4 linked regions of the Drosophila melanogaster genome follow. The protein of the gene in region 3 purifies or fractionates together with the protein of the main gene of each other region. This does not show direct contact. Each region holds a gene or a part of one and is shown on either strand. Other genes may lie near its edges. The genes, in order: CG4707, Hsp60A, al and Tim10.

Region 1 (5,384 bases), on a different chromosome or scaffold from region 3:
AGGACGTCCAGGAACGCATTTTTATCTAACCAGATACTTAAATTGTGACACGTCTAGAAATTGAAAAGTGCAAATAATTTAGTGCATCATAAAGGTTTACACTTTTATTAACTAGTTTTGTACGTTACTTTTGAATATTGGTTCTGAACGGTAAACTCGCTTCATTGAGGCTGCTTCGATAACGATACCGATTAGTCAGTGTGTCCGGATTGTCTCATCCCTGCTGCACGCGACCCACCATTTTAGTAACACCGAAGAAACGGTAGCGAAATGGCCACGGAGGAGCACCAGCGCCTGGCCAGCATCGTGAAGAGCTGCCACGAAAGCCTGCGCCAGTTGACTAAGGAGTATGGCGCCACAGCGGCCTGGCAGGAGCACACGAGTCCCAGGAACGCCAAGCAACTGGCGGAGTACGCCAAGGCGATGAAGCAACTGGCGGCCATATGGGAGACCAACGATGGGAAGGTGGAGCTGCAGGCACGCAGCCGCATCAAGTGGGCCATCGACTACATCACCAAGTACTTCTTTACCGAGGGCATATATTTGCAGAAGCGCCAGCGGGAGCAGCGACTCCTGGAATCCTACAGAGCCGAGGGAAAACTGGGCGAGGTGCAGTGCAGGCTGATGGAGGAGCCGCCGGACAGGCTGCACGTCCTGGATGTGGGCAGCTGCTTCAATCCCTTTTCCAGTGCTCCGCACTTGGAGGTAACCGCCCTGGACTTGTGTCCCGCCACCGAAGATGTGCTGCAGGCGGATTTCCTCAAAGTGGAGGTGGTACCCGGAATACGAGAACCTGAGCTGGAGGAGGGCAGCGTAAGAAGGCTACCAGCAAGCCACTACGAGTGCGTCATTTTCAGTTTGCTACTGGAATACATGCCCAGCGCCGAGCAGAGACTACAGTGCTGCCTTCAGGCCTACGACCTGCTGCTGCCCGAGGGCATCCTTGTGCTCATCACACCGGACTCCCAACATGTTGGCAAAAACGCCCACCTCATGAAAAACTGGCGCTACTCCCTGGCCAGGATTGGACTGCTACGGGTACGCTTCGAGAAGTTGCCGCACATATCGTGCATGGTGTTCCGCAAGGCCATCAGCCGGGAGCTCTCACAGCACTGGGCGAGCATTCACCGGGAGGAGGGGATGTGCGAGGAAATTCGGATACCGCAGGACGATAGCTAGATAAGATTCAGCCCCCATAAATCGATGTAAATATGTCCACGTCTACTTATTTATGGCTTAACTTATCTGTGTTAAGTGCGAGTTAATAATAATGGTTGACGATTTATCTACTATCTATGGATGTCGTAAATGGACAAATGCTATTGCTTCTGTTCCGACTGTGGGAACAGCGCGCCGCTGGTCTGGCGCTTCTTCATCGCTGTGGTGGCGCCCTGCGAAATCTTCATGATGTTCGGCGGGAGCGGTTTCTTGCGATCCGCCTCCCACTCGGCTCGGTGGAGCCGCTGACGGTGCTTGTACATGTTGGCGTTGGAAAAGAACGTCATGGGGCAGTTAGGACAGGTGTACAGCACCTCTCCGGTGTGCGTTGATGTGTGCTCCTGTAAATTAGGTGTCGAATACTTAGATTTCTCTGTAAGTGAGCCCCACACTTACCCTCAGATCCTGTGGACGCTTAAATGCCTTTTCGCACATCCCGCACTTGAACTTTCGCTCACAGAGGTGGTTGTGGTAGATGTGGCGCTTCAGGGCTCGGGAATTGGTGGATGTCTTGTTGCAGATATGACAGCGGTGCTCGTCGCCCGGCGGCTCGTGTACCGTTTTCATGTGCTGCTTTAGTCCGGACAAGTGGCGCAGCCAGGTGCCGCAGATCTCGCACTGCACGGGATCGGGTTTTGGACGCGGTTTCTCGGAATGTTCAAGCTCGTGATGCTTTTTGAGATTCGTTTGTGAACGTAGCGTCTTGCCACACTTATCGCAGATGATGGCCGCTTCCGGGTCGTGCATGTAACGCAAGTGCTCTTTCAGTTTGCGTTCCGTAGGAATCCTGAAAGCATTAAGGGATTACTTGGGGGGTTGCTCATATGCCTCATACCTGATGGACAATTACTTCTTGTTGCACTCCGGACAAGAGTATTTGAACTCGGATTTCGGGACATGCTTGGAAACGTCATGATACTCCATGGCCGCCTTGGTTGTGAAGCTCTTGGGGCACTTCTCGCACTGGTAGATCCGCTTCTCCTTCGGCTCCGCCTTGACCTCCGGGTTTGTGTGTGTCTGCTCGTGGACCTCCAGGGCGCGGGAGTCCTGGAATACCCGCCCGCACTGAGAGCACATAAAGTGATCTGGGTTCTTGTGGACCAAGACGTGCTCGGCCAAAGCCTTGCGCAGGTGGAACTTTCTCCCGCAGCATTCGATGTAGCCAGATTCGATGTTGTGGGAAACGCGTTGATGGCGTCGCATGTCCGCAAAGTTCTGCACCAGCAGATTGCACAGAGAGCACGGAAACTTTTTGAAGAACTGCAGGATAATCTCATCGTACTCGTCTTGCTGGAGCTTCCTCCGTTCAATCTCCTCCCGACTCAGACGAACGGGTGGAACCAGTGGCTTTTCCCTTTTTCGGTACTTCTTAGGTTTCACCACAACCCGCTTGGGAATCTCAGCGTAACGTTCCTCAGGCTCTATGTCCGGCAGGCTGTGGTCGGAATCCTCTCCACTGCTCTCACTGGAGGAACTGGAGCTGTCGTCAGTGCCCAAGACAGCCTCGGGAGCCACGAACTCCATGTCATTGTTATCCCTGGCATTTTCTTCGCCATCTTCGGAGTCCAGTTCCTTCTTTGGGGAAGGAGCCGATTCCGGCTTAGCTTTGGGTGGCCGTCCTCTTCTTGCGCTCCTTCGTAGCTGGCGTCCCTTGTTCGCTTCGCTGTTCTTTGCGGGTCCAACTGAACTTCTCTTTGAATCCGAGTTTAAAAAATCGGCCAGAGGTGCATCCGAGTCACTATCCACTGGCAGCTCGTTTTTAATGCGCCGCTTCGAGTGTGGTGAGCCTTCGTTTGGGACACCCAACCGTTTCGGAGCTGTTCTGATTTCCGTTTTAACTGGGTCTTCCAAGAGTTCCACCTTGGGCAGGGGTTCTAGTTCGTTCACCTCCACCTTGACCTCACTGGGCGCAAAAAAGGCCTCCGCCAACGCGTCCAACTCCACAGAATATAGCGGATTAATGATGGCCTCCTCTGTCTGACCGCAAAATTCGATGGGTTCGCTTTTGGAATCGCTGCTCCGCTGCCGGTGCAGGCAGGAGACGCGCTGGTGAAACTCCTCGAAGCTGCTAACGCAGTTCCAGCACTCCCGACAGACCTCAGCATCACCGCCAGCCGTAAGAACCTGTGGATGGCGAAGAGTTCGGTTTGGTTTATCCAAAACTTGCGATTATGGCGCAGAGCTTACCTCGGAGAACGCGAAGTGCTTGTGGATGGTCGCCCTAATGTTCAGACGGACGCCTTCCTCGGATTGTAGGCCGTAGCCAGCATTGCTACTGTCCAGGCAGAGCACACAGACAGTCATGACGAAACCGGATGCACTGGCTGAGTCCTAATCCTGCTTCATTTCCACACAAAGTTTTTGTTTACGATTTTGCAAAAATTTGTTTTCCAAAGCAAAGCAGGGTTGACAGGGGCGTGCATGAAGAGCTGGTGAGCCGATAGTATCGAGACAAGCAGAATAATCATTAGTGAAACTGAAAAACAATTTGATGTGCTGATCTTTGTATTGTATTAAAGCAATTTCAATTTTGGGCGAATTATATAATTTAATATATTAATGCAAGAAATTTATATTAACTGTACAATGTAGTTACACCCTAACGCCTTTTAGATTGCCCCCTCGCACAGTGGAAAGGGCCTCGTGCTTGAAAAAAATACCAAAACATAACGCACATTGCGGTATCAGCTGTTTCCCATAGCTTTGTTGAGTCGATAAAGATCAGAGTTTTAACCATTTAATGCATTATTCAGAAGCGATTGCCCCGAATGAGCGAAACCAATAAAAACAAGGATCCCACGGGGACCAGTCTGAAGAAGCAACCTTGGCACAAGCGCGGATCGGCCTCTGCAATGGCCTCAAATATCTTGTTGCAGCTGGCGGCCGAGGATCCCCAAAGGGACGCTTATCCTAAGGACACGGTGGTAAGTTGCCTGTTTTATAAATGAAATCCATTTTTGCGACAATATCAAGCCCGCGTCGGCGGCACGCGCAGTTTCTGTTTTCCCGCGAGTGGTAACCAAGTGGTGGTAGGGGCTTCTTTGGGCAGTGCGCAATCGCCAGCGCCCTGCACCCCACATTCCCATCGAATAGTGAAAAGTTCCAGAAAGACCAGCTCCAGCCAACTGAATCACTGCTGCCGAAATCAGCAAGTCCGAATCCAAGAGGCCAAAGTATCACCTACAACCCACCAAGTATGGAGAAGATCTGGAAGAAGGTGTGCGAGCACCACGATGTGCCCGAGCAGGTGGCCAACGAGTGGTTCGCCCGCATTCAGCAGCACCTGAGCTCCGAGGATCCCGCTCGCGCCTACCACAATTGGGAGGAGATGATGCGGCGCAAGGAGCCGCACTTGGCGGGCGTGGCCAATCCCAACATTGTGCTGGCCGCCTTCTTCCAGTACTACCACTTCGATGGTAACCGCAGCTGTGCGGAGAAGAACTGCGAGGTCTTTGAGGAGTTTTGCAATGATGCCGTCATCGAGGATGTGAGTAGGCGTGCGGTGTAACTAAACCTCTATATTCGGCGTGCTCTACCTTAAACAGGACCATGCAAAAAGCCTGGTATGTAATTTGCTGGGGCGCAAGACCCCGGAGAACCAGTTGACCTGGTGCCATGACGACGAGGCCAACTTGCTGCAGGACGTAGACCTGGTGGTCCTAGCGTGAGTATTTGTGCAATCATTGTCCGTGTATTTCAAAACCCATTTACACTACTAAAGTGCTTCGCCGGAGGAGTACAAGCACTATACAACTCTCCTTCGCTCGGAGTACGCCAATCTCGACGATGCCACCTACAAGGCCATGCGCATCAAGGTGCTGGAGACCCTGCTGATGATTCCCTCCATCTACGCCACTGGAGACTACCACGACAAGTACGAAGAGCTAGCCCGCGCCAACATACGCAACGAGATCAGCGAGCTGAAGAAGCAGTAAATCAGAGTTGGAGGACCAGGATGTAACGGGGCTGCTTTGTTTACTGCTGTTGAGTTGTGTACTTACTGGCCGTTTTACCTCGGTTGACTGCAAGGCACTCGTGTATTGGTTGAGCAACCTTCTCTGCCGAACATCTACTTAATTTTACTCCTAAGTGAAGTGTAATCAAAATCATTTTCCTAGTTAGTGTGTACGCCTAGATATATACGTAAGCCCTGTAAACTCCAGCTC
Region 2 (7,169 bases), on a different chromosome or scaffold from region 3:
GTTATTTGTCCAAATATGGAATGTCATACCTCGCTGAATTCGTCACAAAATTCCCTTTCGAATGGCATTCACAGTTTAAAATGTAATTTTTTGTCCATTTTTCGCAAAAAATTATGATTATAAAAAATCAGAAAATTCGAAAAAAAAAAAATTTTTTTTAATTATGAAAACGTTGACAGGAATCGTTTATTTGGATCATAAGTTTTATAAAACAGTAATTTTTTTGAATGTGTGACCATTTTTGGCCAAGTTATAGGATTTTAAATTCTTCGAAAAAATCATAATTTCGGCTAAATGAATCCCCAATTTTGCAACAAAAACTAATCCTTTTTTGTTCATAGCAATGAAGTTATTAATCCAAATACGGAATGTCATACTTCGTTGAACTCGTCACCAAATTCCCTTTCGAATGGCATTCACAGTTTAAAATGTAAATTTTTGTCCATTTTTCGCAAAAAAATTAAGATTATAAAAATCGGAAAATTCGAAAAAAAAAATTTTCCAGAAATAAATATACGAATTTCGGGATCGTTTATGTGGATCATAGGCTGCACAAAAAAGTCATTCTCTTGGTTGTGTGATCGTTTTTGACCGCGTTATAGCAAAAACTCCTCTAAAAATCTTCAATTGAATGTATCCCTCAGATCTTACGTACGCCCATATAGTCAGCATGTCGCCCTTCGAGAACACGCTGGTTTCCTACAATCTGCCGGGCAGCAAGATAGTGGAGGCCATGGAGTGGGCCCTGAGCAAAGTGGACCTCGAGAACGGGGTGACCGGATCGTACATCAATCTGCAGTTCTCGGGCATCCGGGCGAAGTACGACTACACGAAGCCGGTGGGATCGCGTGTCATATCCGTAACGATTCGTTGTGCGGACTGCGAGGTGCCCAAGTACGAGCCTCTGGTATCCGACAAGCTCTATCGCCTCACATCGCCCAACTTCCTGCAGGCTGGTGGCGATGGCTACACCATGCTCGCCGAGGGCACTGACCTCCAGTACGTACATACAGGCAGCTCATCTTGTGTCCCATGTTGTAATACCATTTGATTATTTACTGATTTCAGGTGGGGAGTCACGGACTTGGATGCCCTAATCTCGTACAGCAATCACATCAATCCCATTTACCAGGGCCTCGAGGGACGCATCACAGTGCTCAACTGATTATACATACATATGTATTATATCCATAATGTGCAATAATTGCATTTTCCACAATAAATTTATCAGGGAAAGTACACAAACATATCTTTTCTCTGGAAGATTATTGATGCTGGGGAATATGTTTGGAGGCAATGGTTGCATAATATAATCATATACCATTTAAAATCTCCCAAAGATGATATCGTTCTACAAGCCATGGTGCCTTGGCAACTCGAGATGAAACCCATTGCCGAGCGGACAGTGGGCCAGAGTCGCGTGAATCTCCAGCAGAGTCAGTGCAGCAGTGGGGAATGCAATCTGGGTAACTTCTTCACCGATGCTATGCTTCATGCGGTAAGTAGTGGTGGCTTCAACCCACTTGCAACTGACCTAGTCCAATGAGAATCTTCAGTTTGTCAAGGATGCTTCATCGTCGTCTGAAGAGAGTTGGAGTAACGTGACCATTGCCTTGACATCAACGGGAACTTTTCGAGTGCCTATTCCAGCTGGCAGTGAGTCCTGAAAACAACATGTATACCTTAATCGAACAATAAGACTAAGTATATCACTACAGACATCACCTACAAGCAATTGTTTGCCATGTGCCCATGGCAGAATAGACTGGTGACCCTCAGTCTGCGTGGTAAGCACATTGTGGAGCTGCTGGAGCATGTGGTGGCGCCCATGAATGCCAGTTCGGCCACGCCGCGTTCCTCCCGATTCCTCCAGGTTTCCGGTCTCCGTATCCGTTACGATTTGAACGCCGATCAGCGAGTATTCAGTGTGCGAGTAAGATGCTCCAAGTGCCTGGTGCCCAGGTATATTCCACTCGATTTGGAGCACAAGTACCGCGTGGTCGTCATGGAGTACCTGGCGAATGGGAAGAACGGATTTAGCGTAATCAGCGAAAATGCAGAAGATCCAGAGTAAGCATGTTAAACAATGTTGATTTTGAATAAAGTATTAAAAAGCTTTTTTTGCCAGGTTTGGTCCTTTCGACTTGGACGCCTTAATGGACTACATGAACTCCACCGGGCCAATTACGACTGCAATCGAGCAAAGGATTCAGTTTGTAACTACTTAGACTTTATAGTATGGTCGAAAAATGTAGTAAACCTATATAATAAAATATACATATGTATGGTTTCATTTTGAAAAAAAAAAACTTAGGCGCGAAACTATCGCTTTCCGCATCTAACATCTCTAGCATAACGTATAAAGCTTGCTGCGATAGTTATTCATTATTATATAATTGGATTATTAATAGTTGCGTTGGATTTGCATATTTGCTGTTAATACATTAATATATTAAATTGTTTTCTTTTCTATGGAAACCAGAAAACTTATTTATCGGCGAAAGCTCAATTTATTATAAATATTACTTGAATGCGAGTCCCCCATATGGCTGCCGATAATATTCGATTGCCCGACGCAAGCAATCGATAAGCGCCGGCTATTTTCGATGGCCAACGAATGGTCACACCGATACACATTAAGGTTAGGAAGTTCGGACCGCCTGTGCGCACATTTCGAAGCGAGTAAACTGTGGTGAAGTGGGCTTGTTGTTTCACATCAAATAGAATCGGAAGCGTTCGCTTAACTGTCTTGTCAATAATTCGCAGTACCAGTTTAATTCACAGTAAGTTCTAAACTTTTAAACAATTTCCAGAGCCATTCCCATTTGCCCAATTGCATTTCAAGTTTGTGTGCAAGTGTGTGTGTCCCATTGGCGATTATATAAGAGCGAACAATCTGGCCGATAGCCGGCAAATCGTGTTTCCAGAATGTTCTGTTCATTGATAACTGGAAAAGTAAACGATGTCTGCATTGTGCAGTAAATGATTACATTCCAACAAGAATTTATTAAATCCACCTCAAAACACACAAACACGCATACGGGCGCGCACATTGGAAAGCTGGTGGAAACTCAGTTGCACATGTTTTCCACTGCTTGCCGGCAATTTCACATTTATCAGACGGCATTGCATGTGCTGCTACTGCTTGCCCTGCTTCCTTTCTTTCTTTCCACTCTCGTTTGCGGAAATCTTTGATTCATTGAATAACATTCCCTCCCATTTTGGGAGCTACATATTAGTCTTTTGCCCAAGTGCTGGTTACATAAATCGTTTCTTCTGGAATGCTCGGTGCCAAGATGTTGTTCGTTCCCCGGGGGGTGGGGGTGGGCACTGGAATGAGGGGGCCTGGCCGGTACAGTGGAGCCTCGCTGCTGCAACGAATTAGTTTACATAATACTATCAGTAATACCTAAACTCATTGATTTGGTTTAATTTTTCAATTCAAAATAATGATGTTTATAAGGATGAGCAGAATCCATGTAAATATCTCATGTTGCCTGTGTTTTTAGAACTATTTCATCATTAAATTAGATAGAAACAATAGGTGATTACTGTTTAAATTCGTCTTATATTTTATTTTATTGTATTCACATTAATAACAACCTAAAAAAAAAACATTCTTTCTGCTTATGCAATTCTCACAGAGATATTAATTAGTTTATGTAATTTTCGAAAATTGTAATTTTTATAAACCGAAACTAGATGTATGTACATCTGTATTTATCTAATCCACGTGTTATATGCCATAAATTAGCTCAATGATTATGTTGATAATGAGTTTTTTGCATTGAGCTTTATTAAAAAAATGTATATTATTTTTTTTATAACTCTTTGAAAATTCCCAATTTTTGGAGCATTGTGCGTTTATGTAATTTCCATAAGTATCCGTGTAAATAACATTCCATTGGCTTTTGCTGTCAGTAATCTGAGAAGTTTACAGCTCTGATTATCGGAAAAGTCAAGCGAACTGCGTGTGTTAAACAGTGCTCACGCGTTGTATTCCCAATTTCACATTCAAGAACGAAGATTTTTGACCTTTGACCCGCTGGAAGCTTATCAACTAAGAAACTCCGGGGTAAACAACTCAAAGAAACCGCATCTTAGTTCTGCCCAAGGCGGAACACGTGCTTTGATTCATCTCTTGCTACCAGCCAGTTCTCATCATACCAATCCTCTCTGCTCTTCCACAGATGTTCCGTTTGCCAGTTTCGCTTGCTCGCTCCTCCATTAGCCGCCAGTTGGCCATGCGCGGCTATGCCAAGGATGTGCGTTTCGGACCCGAGGTGCGCGCCATGATGCTCCAGGGCGTCGATGTGCTGGCCGATGCTGTGGCAGTGACCATGGGCCCCAAGGGTCGCAATGTGATCATTGAGCAGTCGTGGGGCTCGCCCAAAATCACCAAGGACGGCGTCACTGTGGCCAAGTCCATTGAGCTGAAGGACAAGTTCCAGAACATCGGTGCCAAGCTGGTCCAGGATGTGGCCAACAATACCAACGAGGAGGCCGGTGATGGCACCACCACGGCCACCGTTCTGGCTCGCGCCATTGCCAAGGAGGGCTTCGAGAAGATCTCCAAGGGCGCCAATCCCGTCGAGATTCGTCGCGGTGTCATGCTGGCCGTTGAGACCGTCAAGGACAACCTTAAGACCATGTCGCGCCCCGTTAGCACGCCCGAGGAGATCGCCCAGGTGGCCACCATCTCGGCCAACGGTGATCAGGCCATCGGCAATCTCATCAGCGAGGCCATGAAGAAGGTGGGACGCGATGGCGTTATCACCGTCAAGGATGGCAAGACCCTCACCGATGAGTTGGAGGTTATCGAGGGCATGAAGTTCGATCGCGGCTACATCTCGCCGTACTTCATCAACTCCTCGAAGGGCGCCAAGGTGGAGTTCCAAGATGCCCTCCTCCTGCTGTCCGAGAAGAAGATCTCATCGGTGCAGAGCATCATTCCCGCTCTGGAGCTGGCCAATGCGCAGCGCAAGCCGCTGGTCATCATTGCCGAGGATATCGATGGTGAGGCCCTGAGCACCCTGGTGGTGAACCGCCTCAAGATCGGCCTTCAGGTGGCTGCCGTCAAGGCACCCGGCTTCGGCGACAACCGCAAGAGCACCCTCACCGATATGGCCATCGCCTCCGGCGGCATTGTCTTCGGCGATGATGCTGATCTCGTCAAGCTGGAGGACGTCAAGGTTAGCGATTTGGGCCAGGTCGGCGAGGTGGTGATCACCAAGGACGACACCCTGCTGCTGAAGGGCAAGGGCAAGAAGGACGATGTGCTCCGTCGCGCCAATCAGATCAAGGACCAGATCGAGGACACCACCTCCGAGTACGAGAAGGAGAAGCTGCAGGAGCGTCTGGCCCGCTTGGCCTCCGGCGTTGCCCTGCTGCGCGTTGGCGGCTCCAGCGAGGTGGAGGTCAACGAGAAGAAGGATCGCGTCCATGATGCCCTGAACGCCACCCGTGCTGCCGTCGAAGAGGGAATCGTTCCCGGAGGCGGCACCGCTCTGCTGCGTTGCATTGAGAAGCTCGAGGGTGTCGAGACCACCAACGAGGATCAGGTACGATTATCTATCTCTCTTTTCTGTTATTCGTGTATTAATGTCTATGAAATCTCATAACAGAAACTCGGCGTGGAGATTGTGCGTCGTGCCCTGCGCATGCCATGCATGACGATTGCCAAGAACGCCGGCGTTGATGGCGCCATGGTGGTGGCCAAGGTGGAGAATCAGGCCGGTGACTACGGCTACGATGCGCTGAAGGGCGAATACGGCAACCTGATCGAGAAGGGCATCATCGATCCCACCAAGGTGGTGCGCACCGCCATCACAGACGCCTCCGGTGTGGCCTCACTGCTGACCACCGCCGAGGCTGTCGTCACCGAGATCCCCAAGGAGGATGGCGCTCCTGCCATGCCCGGCATGGGTGGTATGGGCGGCATGGGAGGCATGGGCGGCATGGGTGGCATGATGTAAGCGACTGCCACTGACTGGTCGACAGCCGGAGAGGGGGAGGGAGATGTGATGAGAACCGAAACCAGCATACTGTTTAAGTCACGATGTGGAACGATGACGTCGCGTGGTCGGCGGCGAAAGCAGCTCATCAGTTATCAGTCATCAGCAGTCGGAGCGAGACCCACCAATATCTCTTACATCGGTGCATCCAGCCGGAGACACATCACCCACCATTTGACACGCATTCTAATCCTTGATGGAACTTTGTTTTGCTTCGCATTTATCCTTTGGCAAGAGCAGCGCAACATCAGCACACAAATCCAACACAACCGGCTGGGTGTGAGCTCGTCGAGACTGCAGCGTTCGCTCCGCCACACGCCGTCGCCTCCATTGTGCTCCACGTTTTTTTAACTATTCCTTAACTCTATTTTTTTTTACATGTTATATATGTAAAGATACCGCTAGTTGTAAAATATATTAAATAAATCCGAAGTTAAATTGAGGAAAAACCTGGACGGCTTGTATCTCTGGCGGTTCGCTACTGGGTTACTGGCATCCCAAATGAGAAGATCGGTCGTCCGCTTTGAATTGTTGTGCTCAAATTTATATTTGTTGCTCTTTCGCTTTTTTGTTTCTTTTGTTTATTAATTATAAATACATTTAATAAAAAAAACCTAAATAATGTAACGCTTAGATGTTTAAAAGAAAGAAAAATATGTTGCATATACTCCGCATACGGTTAATGGGTGCGGGGCCAGGAGGTGGCCTCTGCCAAGTGGGTGCTCCCGCTGCCGCTCCTACTCCAGCTGATCCCGATCCCGAACCAGATCCTGATCCTGATCCTGATCCCCTCCTGGCGCCGGCGTTAACGATTAACGATGACACAATGGCAGTACGTATGTGATCGATGGCGGCGATGGGTCGTCGGCTGCCCGCGCCGACTCCGCCCCTCGAGGCCTATGGCTATGACTTGTCTGGCGGGAGGAGACTGTGCTGTGCTCCTACGCCAGCTGTTGCTACGTCTGGTGACGCTGCTCCACCCACTCCTAGCACTTGCGCTTTGGCGTGCGCCGCTTGACACCGCAGTTGTCCACCTTTTTGCTGCCCTTGGCGATGGCCAGCAGCTTCACGAGCTTCTTGTGCGAATCGCCCACGATCCAGCCGTGCTTCTGGTACGTCTCGTTCTCCTCGAAGTGTTTACCCGGCGACGGTGAC
Region 3 (5,761 bases):
TAATAACCGCACAAATTGCGTATAGTTAAAGGGAGGAGAAGGGAAAGCTTGTTAGTACAAAGGCAAAACACCTCGATTGTATAAGTATGAAATACCCATAACTTCTTGCTCCAACCCGTTGGTTAAAATCAAAATATATAATTTATCTGAATCATTTTCATCATCTCAAACAACACCATCTTAGCTTTGAAGTTGTCTTTGTAAGTTTTATAAGAATAATTAAGCAAACACCAAGCAGACACCGCTAGTTGATTAAAGGCTACCATCTTTGGAAGGTCTAACCAAATGGCAAGCCCCTCAAATCTATTTCATTCTCCCAGCTGGCAAATGGCAACTGGTAAATTCTTCTATCTAAGCCGCATAATGGTCATAATGAATAAGACACCTCGGACAGCAGATAGGGAACGGGCGAGCTGACTTGGCCACTTGGCTGCAATTTGTTTGCTATCAGCCAGGAGAAAAACGGCGAACGACTTATGGGGGAAAAGAAGAAAAAGGAAAACGCGCAGCAGAAATAAAATTATTTAATTGCGCAATTAAGTGCACATTTGTAGCGTTTTGCGCGACATCTGTCCCATGTGCAGGAGTGGATGCAGACCCACAGCCACAGCGCGGAGTCGAAGTCGGGACCGGAAATTCAATTGTTGAGATAATAATTACATTAGGACGTGCGCGCATGCGCGACTCTTTCACTTTAAGCCTCCGTCTCTTTCGCGCTGTGGAGCGATCTGAGCCTGCTTAGAGTGGACCCGAATTGAGTCCGAACGGGGAAGAATGTCCACACGGATGTATTGAGACAGAGGAATACCTAGTACTAGATCCATTTCACCGCTAAATTACGAAATTTCCCTATTCGAATAAACCATCAAATATCCTCTTATAAGCATATATGCTGCGGACTGAATCTGTACATATAAAGACCTGACAATTCTCTAATTTGGATTCCGATTAAAATAAATTAAATGAAGTTCAATTGTGAGGATACCATCTTATTCAAGGGTAAATACATCAAGCCCTTGCTCTTCCCGAACACTGGGTATAATAAGTGCACACCTTGCGCGACGGGCTGATTGACACGGCCACATGGGGACGAGAGATACCGTGCTCGGTACCAGATATTCCCGATCCCGGTCCGAGTTTGCTGTCCATTGAACTCGTCGGACAAATGGTCACTCCTCGTCCGTCGACGGTCGATGGTCGCTGGTCTTTTGTTTGCATTTCGCCCGTAAATGAAGCGTGAAATTGGCAGCAGTGCAGCGGACTCGATCCAACTCCGACTCCAATCCCTATTCCGATCTGCAATGGAACTCGGAGAGCGTCGCATTGTTTACTTCTTGTTAAGGCCCGACAATGGGATAATATGGCCATATAATGGCAACACCAAACTATTTGTATGCAATTGCCATTAACACTTTATTTATTGCCTTGCGATACAAGCAAATTGGGCAGCGAATGATGGTCGAAGGAGGGGGACGCTTCCAGTGCAAAATGCCGCTGGAATGGATCTGTGGATGTATAAGGCCCGCTTATATAAAGCCTAATGAAGTGGTTATCAAGGAATGGAATCTGTTAGGTCTGCTCGGAAATGGCAAGAGCTGGGCTGAGTTCAGTTTTTCATCATGGACGGAAAACATTTTTCCTTGGATTACATTAAATTACGAAGATGGATGTGATAAAAATGATGTGATGTACAAGCCTATGGCTTGTATTTCACGTTGTATCAATCTAAATCAATATTCACTTATTTAAAAACTATCAACGGCTTTTCCAAACATCCTTCATTCAAATTTAACTTGAGTCATCTACATAGCTGGCTCATTGACCTTTTTCTCAAGTTATTGCCCTTCCCCGCATGACACCCCCACTCCGATGGGTAAGCAAAACAGTCTACAGTCCGACAATCATCCAATAAAGCCAACAAAGTCATTAACGAGGCCCTTAACACTACCAAAACGGTCTATATGGCCGGTTCCAAGTCCCCACCCCAATACACGCAACTCTTTTTCCCATATGTCTTGGCTAAATTATTTAATTTATGAGCCGCAACAACTGGCAAATGCATCTATGGCAACCAGAGGAAAACGCGTTGAGCTGGGGGGCAAATAAATTTCCATTTTGCTAATCAAATTTATTGCACTTTGTGCGGGGCTTATTCAATTACGCCCAATCGAAGAGGCGCGAGAGAGAGGGCCATGCGGAGCGACAGAGAGCGGTAGAGAGCAGCTCCGCCATTATTTCGCTCCGTCGAATGCTGCTTTCCCATAGGCCGAACCGCCAGAAAGAGGCGGAGTCCGCCTCCCGGCCACCTGCCGCCTCACCTGCGACACCTGCGACGATCGATCGACATGCTCCGATCGCATCGCTCCCTCTCGCTCTGCGGCACTACGAAACACTAAAAACACTGGGAGGCCAGAAAACCACTCTCGCAACATTGGAAAACAACAACTCCAACCGGTTGTTGTTTCAGACCCACCAGAGTTTTCACCTGCGCGCCAACTGCTCACCGTGTAGTTTGCTGCCGGCTCTGGAACAGCCCGGTCATCTCGTCGCGTTCGGTTCCGATTCCGATTCGAATAGTCGAGCTGGGGATACATTGTTGTTTCCGGGTTAAAGTGCGTACGATTGCGGAAGTGTCGGTATCCTGCGCGTAGTACAAAGTTATACCCATCAAAGGTGTATCGCGATCAAAGTGAACGCTTGGTACTCGGTATCTGGTTGTTGGAAGAAGTGGACAAAAGACCGTCGGCAAAAGTTACTGTTGGTGAGAGCTACAGGGCTTATTAGCCCGGTTAAATAGGAAGAGAGAGATTCAGAAGGCCAAACATTATCAAGACCATCCGTACAATATCTGGCGATTAAGGAGGAGAAGGAAGGTTAGTCTCAGACATTTTATCAAAAATATATGAAACATTCTTTGGACAGAATAGGATTTGTTATATCGAGAGCGTGCATTAAACAGGGAATCCTAGTTACTGTAACTCATAATTTTTTATCACAACCGTAGTCATTGCCTTATATCATATCAAAGATAGGGATTTTCTTAATCAAGCAATTTATATAAATTTTGTTTTAGCCCTAAACTAATCTTGACCCTTTTCCGCCACTTCCGATCCCCAAATCACATAAACTTATTATCACACCTTGCGAATAACCTACTTCTCAGCATGATAGACAAATACTACAAGTATAAGCCATAAATGAATTTCATAATTCACCTGTCTAATCATCCCAATCAATGTGAAGAGGGAAAAATAAAACGTATGACGAGACATAAATATCATTAAATTTGATTAATTTCCCACCTGGACATATCAAATCAGACAAATATCAAGCCAAATCGTATCATCGCTGTAGAATAGAATTTTATTAACTCAATTTTGAGGGTCGAAAGATTTCGCCTTTGCCTTAGCTGATAGTTCGATAAGTTTATCGCTGATTGGTTTTAATTAAACACCATTAAAGAGTACAAATTGTCAGCAGTGCAGTCAGCGCCAATAAATCACGTTTTGTCTAGCTGATGTTTTTCCCTTCTAGAGGTGGTTTTGGTCGAAAGTTGGGGGCATAGTCTTATGCTTGTCCCGTGTACCTACAGAATAAATGAAATTAACCAGCCACACCTATCACCCGCCGATAATCTTGTCAAAAGCCACTGACCACTTAGCTTCGTGACGCGGACGAGGGCCCCGAATATATAGTGAAAATAACACAAATATAGACAGATATGTGGGTCCTGATAAGGCAAAGGAAAACCGGGACCCTCTTTCCTGGTGATAATCGGGCACTTGGCCAACTGATTTAATTAATACTTATAACTCATGTGACTTGTCAGCACAAGTTTAAACGAATTTGTGACGCAAGTTGGTCGCAGTGTATTTGTATCTATGAGGTAGCATCATTCCCAATAGATAATACCGAAAAGATTCGATAAGATTGTCCCGTACAGCGTAAAATTAAAATATGTTCTCCACCGAAATGTAGTTCAATTCAATTACGGCAACATACAATTAAAACTTGTTGCCAGATACCTTAGATACTGTATCTTGTAGATATACACCCGAATTTTTGGCAGCTATCTGAACACGAACTCTGATTTGATTTGATTCGCTGTTGTTCGATTGCTCGACAGCTCCCAATTTGGGGCGCTGTCTTTTGAAGGGATGTCGGTTGATTGTTGATCGTTGATGGCAACACACCCCCCGAGAGAAATCTTCTCCAGCGGGAAGATGGCGCCAGGGCCCTTTGAGATGTGCTTCATTAATTCTTGTCCCCTGCCCCTCGCTAAATGGAACATGCAAACATGAGAAATTAACGTCGTCGTCCACAAATTGCCCACCGTCTGCCTCGGATTCGCTTATCAAACCACACAAGACAATGACAAAGGGCAGGGCGGAACAGTCGAAGATGGAGATGGCGTCGGGCAACAGTTGTCCAATCCCCAGATCCCCGATCCCCGAACACCGATCACCGATCCCCGATCCCCTCCGGTCCCAATTTATAGCTCCTCACTGCGACTGCTGTTCTTAACATGCTTTTTATGAGTAATTGGCCCCGCATCAACATCACCAACACGGGCTAAGCTTGTAGCTACAGCATCGCCATTCACCATCAACAACTTCTTGGTCTTCTGTGTGGGTCTTGAGTTGCTGATCCTGGCTCTGAGTCACAATTTGAACTTGCGTCTACCTTTGGACTACCGTCCCGGCACTCTGATCCATTAGGGTGGACACGGGGTAATTTTTGCTACCTGGGAGCGAATCTCGAATGCCCTTGGAGAGCTCGAAATCCATGTGTCAATACATTTTTACCCAAAAGTTCAAGTACATACAATTTTTATTGTATTTAGCTAATAGATAGTCTCAAATGGGAACGTGTTCTGCCTGTAGACCTAAAACTTTAATGTATACCTTAAATTGTAGACATATTAGGGATTATATAGGATAAGTAGATCAACAACTTAGTTGACCAACTTCATTCACCAGGCGTAGGGGAAGGGTACTAGACCCTTCGTTGCAACTTCGTCTGATAGGCAGTAAATTGAATTAAGATTGTGGAAAAGAACAACAAATGAGGCAGCAACTTCGACACAGGATATGAATAAACTAATTATAATTGGGAGTGTGTGCATTAGAGGTCCATAACGTACACCCCAGAACAAGAGGTACAGAAACAGACGATGATGACGGCGCCTGGCCAACAACAAGAATGCTGCCTTATCGCACCTGGTCCAAAAGACGGCGCCAAGAAACAAACAACCCAACAACTGGAAGGTGAATGGAGGGCTCAGGTGCAGCTTAAATGAGATAAACACTACGGAATTGACTCGACTCGGCCCAGCTCAGCTGCTTGTGATATTAGTTAAAAACATTTCTGGGTGACTTACAAGAGCTGGTCGAAAATAATAATTGGTCTTATCGAACCAAAAGTAAACGACCAAGCTTGGAACGTCGCTGGCCAATCCGTCAACTTCTCCAGGGGACCACCAAGGGACTGGTATCGGGGGCGATCATTGAGCTTTCGCTCGGGGCCAAAAGTTAAGCCACCCAAAATGCTTGCCATTATCGAAGAACCGGAGGCGAAATTACAATGCCGATCATCAAAGTGTGACTAAAGTGGTTTAGCCTAATGTAAACCCATAAATAAGCAGCCCAGATACCGGCCAGACTGGGGACTGGCTGGAAACTGGAGTCTGATCAATAAAGTCTGGAGAGTGGAGGATCGAGACGGAGGCGCATTAACGAAATGCCAGAAAAGAGCTTCTGTT
Region 4 (4,210 bases), on a different chromosome or scaffold from region 3:
AGAAGGCAGGCAAAAGAGAGTGCAGCAAATAGAGATTTTTGTGCATATATAGACTCCGAGAATCGTTATATAACATGCACTCAAAACAAACGAAAAAACGCGCAAATCGGGCGACAGTTCGAAACTACAAAAGACAAGGCCTGAAAACTAAGCTACTAGCGCCAAAAACAGAGTAGGTTTTCCAAAGAGTGTGAAATAGTTTGGAACCCAAGACAACCAAATTCAAGTGCTGCAGAAGTAAACACTTAATAAGGGCGACATGGAGAAGGTTTGTCAGTTTTTCCGCAACAACTACGTGCTGGCCAATTGCGAGGATGCCATATACAAAAAGGCATTCTCCCTGAATCTGTCCCACTACCAAATCTCCGACGTTCCGGGCATCATAGAGAAGTGCGAGACGCTGATGAAGCTGTTCCTCAACCAAAACAAGCTAACAAAGGTGGCACCTGGTGCACAAGATAGCCAATGAAATAATAGACTCACAATCCCTTGACTCACAGATTCCATCCTCCATTGGTAGTTTGATGCGACTTCAGGTCCTCACGTTGGACTACAATAAACTGGACGAATTCCCGCTCTGCATCTGTCGTTTGGTCCGGCTGAAGTTTCTCAACATCAGCTGCAATAACATTAGTAGTTTGCCACCCGAACTGGGATACCTCACTCAGCTGGAGACGTTCTGGTGCAATAATACTGGGCTCCTGGAGCTGCCCAACGAAATTCGTAACTGTGAACACCTCGAGACGCTGGGCGTACGGGGAAATCCCTTGAAGAAGTTGCCCGATGCCATAGGCGCTCTGTCCTCCCTGCGTTGGCTAACAGCCGAGGGCTGCGAACTCAGCGAAGTGCCACTGACCATGGCGTTGCTGGGAAATTTGGTGCATCTGAATCTTAAGGGGAATCGATTGCGACGGCTGCCCAGGATGCTGATGGCCATGCAGAAGCTGCGGTTTGCTTTTCTCAACGAAAATTGTATTGACGAGATGCCCACGCGGTCACAACTGGAGGAGTTGCGGACTCTTCACATGCTCAACCTGTCCAAGAATCCCATCAGCCTGCACCGCGATCTACAGCTAATGGCTTTGGTGAAGCTCCAAATTAACCTTTGTGTTTCTTTTTGTTGAATTTCTCTGAATTTTACAGCGCCAGACGAACCTTTATGTGGAGCTGCCGTCAGATCCCGCCAATATTTGCGATGGTCTCGCCAGTCGAGCTAGCCTCAACGCCCAGGAACAGCAGGAGGATCAGGCGCGAGGAGCAGGACAGGATCTAGACTCCTCCGACTGGGCGAACAGCGTGCGGACCAGCGAACTGGACACAACGGACGAGAGTGCGCTGGAGAACAACATCGAGGATCTGAGTGTCATGCTGCCGGAAATGTCGCGCTTTGTCACCACCTTTTGAATGCATTAATCTGTGTCAACGAGGTCTGATATTATGTAGCACACATAAATCTGTGGTTTATTCTCTACAACGGGGTGTTTTGTACATGTACCTCTAACAATCGTAGCGCTTCAAAAATGCACATTGGTTAAGCGGAAATGTGGGTTAATGGGTGCCAGGTTAACTAGACATCTTCTTCATCAGCTCCTCGTCCTGCATGGACATGGCCGTCAGCTTCTTGCCGATCTTCTCGTGAATGTCCAGATATTTGGCCACACAGCGATCGATGCACACCATCTCGCCTTTGCCTGTAGGGTGCGGAAAGCATTAAAATTACAAGTGTAGAATTGTGGTACAAGTTTCAAGATTTCTATTTAAATTTCATCAATCGAATCAAAGAGAAACCTGAAGTGATTGTCATAGAAAGAGCTGCGAACTAGATACAGCATTCTATATGGCTATGGTACTCACCCAACTCCGACTCGGAGTAGCGCGGCGGAATGCACTTTTTGTGGCAAGCGTTCGTCATGCGGTTATATAAATCGGACATCATTTCGATCTCCATTTCCTGCATCAGCTGCAGCTTGGCCTGGTCTGCGGTGCTGATCTGGGGCAATGCCATTGTGTGGGTGTGGGTGTGTTACTGATGGGTTTTAGGTACTGGATGCTGCCGCTTAGTAATCGAATCGCCTGTCCGATGCTGCGCTTGAGTCGTAATCCCCTTGGTTTGCCTTCCTCATGCGCTCACGCACTCGCATGCTCTCGTAACGCCGGTTCTCAACGGATCTCTTTGACAGCACAAATGCGTAGACGCCACCCACGGTCAAAACAGTCCTGTTTCGGGATTTTCAAACACCATGTAGTAAAGCTAAGTGTGTGTAACTAAAAACGATTTTTCTACAAACCAACAGACAGCGATTCGCCCTGCGTTGCCCAACGACATAGCCTGCTACGAAAAAACGACACACTAACGCGTTCCGTTGGAAGGTGTGCGGGATTTTTTATCACTGGCACGTGTGACAGCTGTCACATAGGGTTATTCCTTTCAATCGAAGTCACTGTATTGGGAAACTGTGATTTGAGTTGGTTCGGAATCAGAGTGAATCTGTATTGCTAGGTTGATTTGTTTTCTGGAACTGTACTTATTTATCACTTAATCAGCCAAATTACTTTATATGTTTGTCAATGGCTTTAATATAATTTAAAAATTGCAAATTTTAAATGCTACATGTTAATTATCAGTATCAGTGATAAATATGTTAGCAACATTGTGAGTATTTATTGCTTTAGCATATTTAAGATTTTGAATTTCATACTTGAAACCTTATTCATTTTTTTATCTTATAAGATTCTCAATATTTAAGTTCATATAAGATTTGAAAGTGACCTTTGTAACTCCGAATGTTTTTCAACTTGTGGTTCCCAACATTCTCTGGTCACACTGACTTGCTGTTTACACAATTATTTCGTAATTTTAAGTCATATTTTATCAATGAATTAAGATAAGGAGCGAGCAGAGCAACTCACAAATGACTTCGCAGATCTACAGCCAGAAGAAGTTCGTGCCCACGCCGCCCGAGAAGGGTTCCTTTCCCCTGGACCACGAAGGTCTCTGCAAGAAGCAATTCCTCCTCTACGCCAGTTGTCTGCGCAAGAACGCCCAGGATACGAGCCAGTGCCGCCAGGACGCCCAGAACTACCTGGCCTGTCGCATGGACAACAATCTTATGGAGAAAACCGAGTGGTCCAAGTTGGGCTTTCACGACCAGAGTACCAAGACCGATCAAAAAGAACCGGAGGTGCAGAAGCAATAGCCGGCATTGTGAGCCATGAAACCCGAACGTAATGTGATGATAGCGGCCACCGGAAGTGTGGCCACCATTAAGTTAGCCCAGTTAATCCGAGAGCTCTCCGACGAGCGCCTACCCTTTAAGTTCCACCTGAAAGTACTTATTACCGAAGCAGCCAAACACTTCTTTGAACTGGAGCAGATTCCCGAAAATGGTAGGTTGTCTAAATCTTCGGGTATTTGTTAACTTTAACTAACAAACTATTGCATATATTGTAGTACCCATTTACCACAATCGCGACGAGTGGATCACCTGGAACAAGCGAGGAGATCCTGTACTCCACATAGATCTAGGCAAGTGGGCGGATTTGTTGGTAATAGCCCCACTCAGCGCAAACTCTCTGTCCAAAATGGCCACCGTAAGTTTGGGTCGACATTTTACCCAGAACATTATTTCAGTATCTTTTTTATGACAGGGGATTTGCGATAATATCGTCATGTGTGTGGTGCGGGCCTGGGACCTTGAGAAGCCGCTGCTCTTTGCACCTGCGATGAATACCCGTATGTACGACCATCCAATAACTCGGGAGCAGATCGACAAGCTGACCAGTTGGGGCTACAAGGAGATACCCTGCATATCCAAGACTCTGATGTGCGGTGATACTGGCAACGGCGCCATGGCGGAGGTACCCACAATTGTGGAAGCGGTGTTATCCGCCTTTCAGCCGATTAAATAGTTATGCACACAAAGTTTATATCGCAGAATATTTTGTTACAATAGTTAGACAAATAATATGGAATTGGCTATGAAATCTTAGAGATCCACCACCTTCATGTCCTCCAGGGAATTGTTTGCCGATTGGCTGATCAGCGCCTTCTCCGAGTCCGTGAGGTTGATAAACTTGTGCTTAGACTTCAGCTCTTGCTGTATGGAAGATAGCAAATCTGGCGAACATCGTCCTGTCTTTAAGCCCTTTTGATCTTGCGTCTCGGCAGCGCCTGTCACCTCCATCTTGGGCTCAACAATGGTCTCCATCT

The links.
Region 1: the proteins of al (region 3) and CG4707 purify together in Drosophila melanogaster (affinity purification with mass spectrometry, with the first as the bait; one large-scale study listed by BioGRID). This does not show direct contact.
Region 2: the proteins of al (region 3) and Hsp60A purify together in Drosophila melanogaster (affinity purification with mass spectrometry, with the first as the bait; one large-scale study listed by BioGRID). This does not show direct contact.
Region 4: the proteins of al (region 3) and Tim10 purify together in Drosophila melanogaster (affinity purification with mass spectrometry, with the first as the bait; one large-scale study listed by BioGRID). This does not show direct contact.

Annotation. Positions count from the first base shown.
Region 1 is NT_033778.4:24,603,380-24,608,763, forward strand, and holds CG4707 (uncharacterized protein), read right to left. Parts: upstream 3,645-5,384; 5' UTR 3,523-3,644; coding exon 3,406-3,522; intron 3,343-3,405; coding exon 2,069-3,342; intron 2,006-2,068; coding exon 1,615-2,005; intron 1,560-1,614; coding exon 1,320-1,559; 3' UTR 1,216-1,319; downstream 1-1,215. Other genes in the region: Samtor (S-adenosylmethionine sensor upstream of TORC1), read left to right, coding at 271-1,179; CG42360 (uncharacterized protein), read left to right, coding at 3,987-4,142; CG42361 (uncharacterized protein), read left to right, coding at 4,415-4,705, 4,764-4,882, 4,940-5,153.
Region 2 is NC_004354.4:11,105,851-11,113,019, forward strand, and holds Hsp60A (heat shock protein 60A), read left to right. Parts: upstream 1-2,631; 5' UTR 2,632-2,783; intron 2,784-3,952; exon of another isoform or gene 3,953-4,075; intron 4,076-4,190; coding exon 4,191-5,561; intron 5,562-5,624; coding exon 5,625-5,975; 3' UTR 5,976-6,458; downstream 6,459-7,169. Other genes in the region: CG42249 (uncharacterized protein), read left to right, coding at 1,341-1,498, 1,557-1,656, 1,719-2,070, 2,129-2,228; CG11122 (uncharacterized protein), read right to left, coding at 7,001-7,169. UniProt on the Drosophila melanogaster protein: Prevents misfolding and promotes the refolding and proper assembly of unfolded polypeptides generated under stress conditions.
Region 3 is NT_033779.5:375,609-381,369, forward strand, and holds the start of al (aristaless), read left to right. Parts: upstream 1-2,503; 5' UTR 2,504-2,873; intron 2,874-5,761. UniProt on the Drosophila melanogaster protein: Involved in the morphogenesis of proximal and distal pattern elements in a subset of appendages. Also has a role in early imaginal disk development.
Region 4 is NT_033778.4:21,688,784-21,692,993, forward strand, and holds Tim10 (translocase of inner membrane 10), read right to left. Parts: upstream 2,357-4,210; 5' UTR 2,327-2,356; coding exon of another isoform or gene 2,289-2,326; 5' UTR 2,218-2,288; coding exon of another isoform or gene 2,058-2,217; 5' UTR 2,006-2,057; coding exon 1,855-2,005; intron 1,692-1,854; coding exon 1,564-1,691; 3' UTR 1,432-1,563; downstream 1-1,431. Other genes in the region: CG10307 (uncharacterized protein), read left to right, coding at 260-439, 501-1,085, 1,144-1,404; CG42497 (uncharacterized protein), read right to left, coding at 2,058-2,217, 2,289-2,326; CG42496 (uncharacterized protein), read left to right, coding at 2,913-3,197; Ppcdc (phosphopantothenoylcysteine decarboxylase), read left to right, coding at 3,213-3,387, 3,452-3,591, 3,649-3,909; CngB (cyclic nucleotide-gated ion channel subunit B), read right to left, coding at 3,987-4,210. UniProt on the Drosophila melanogaster protein: Mitochondrial intermembrane chaperone that participates in the import and insertion of multi-pass transmembrane proteins into the mitochondrial inner membrane.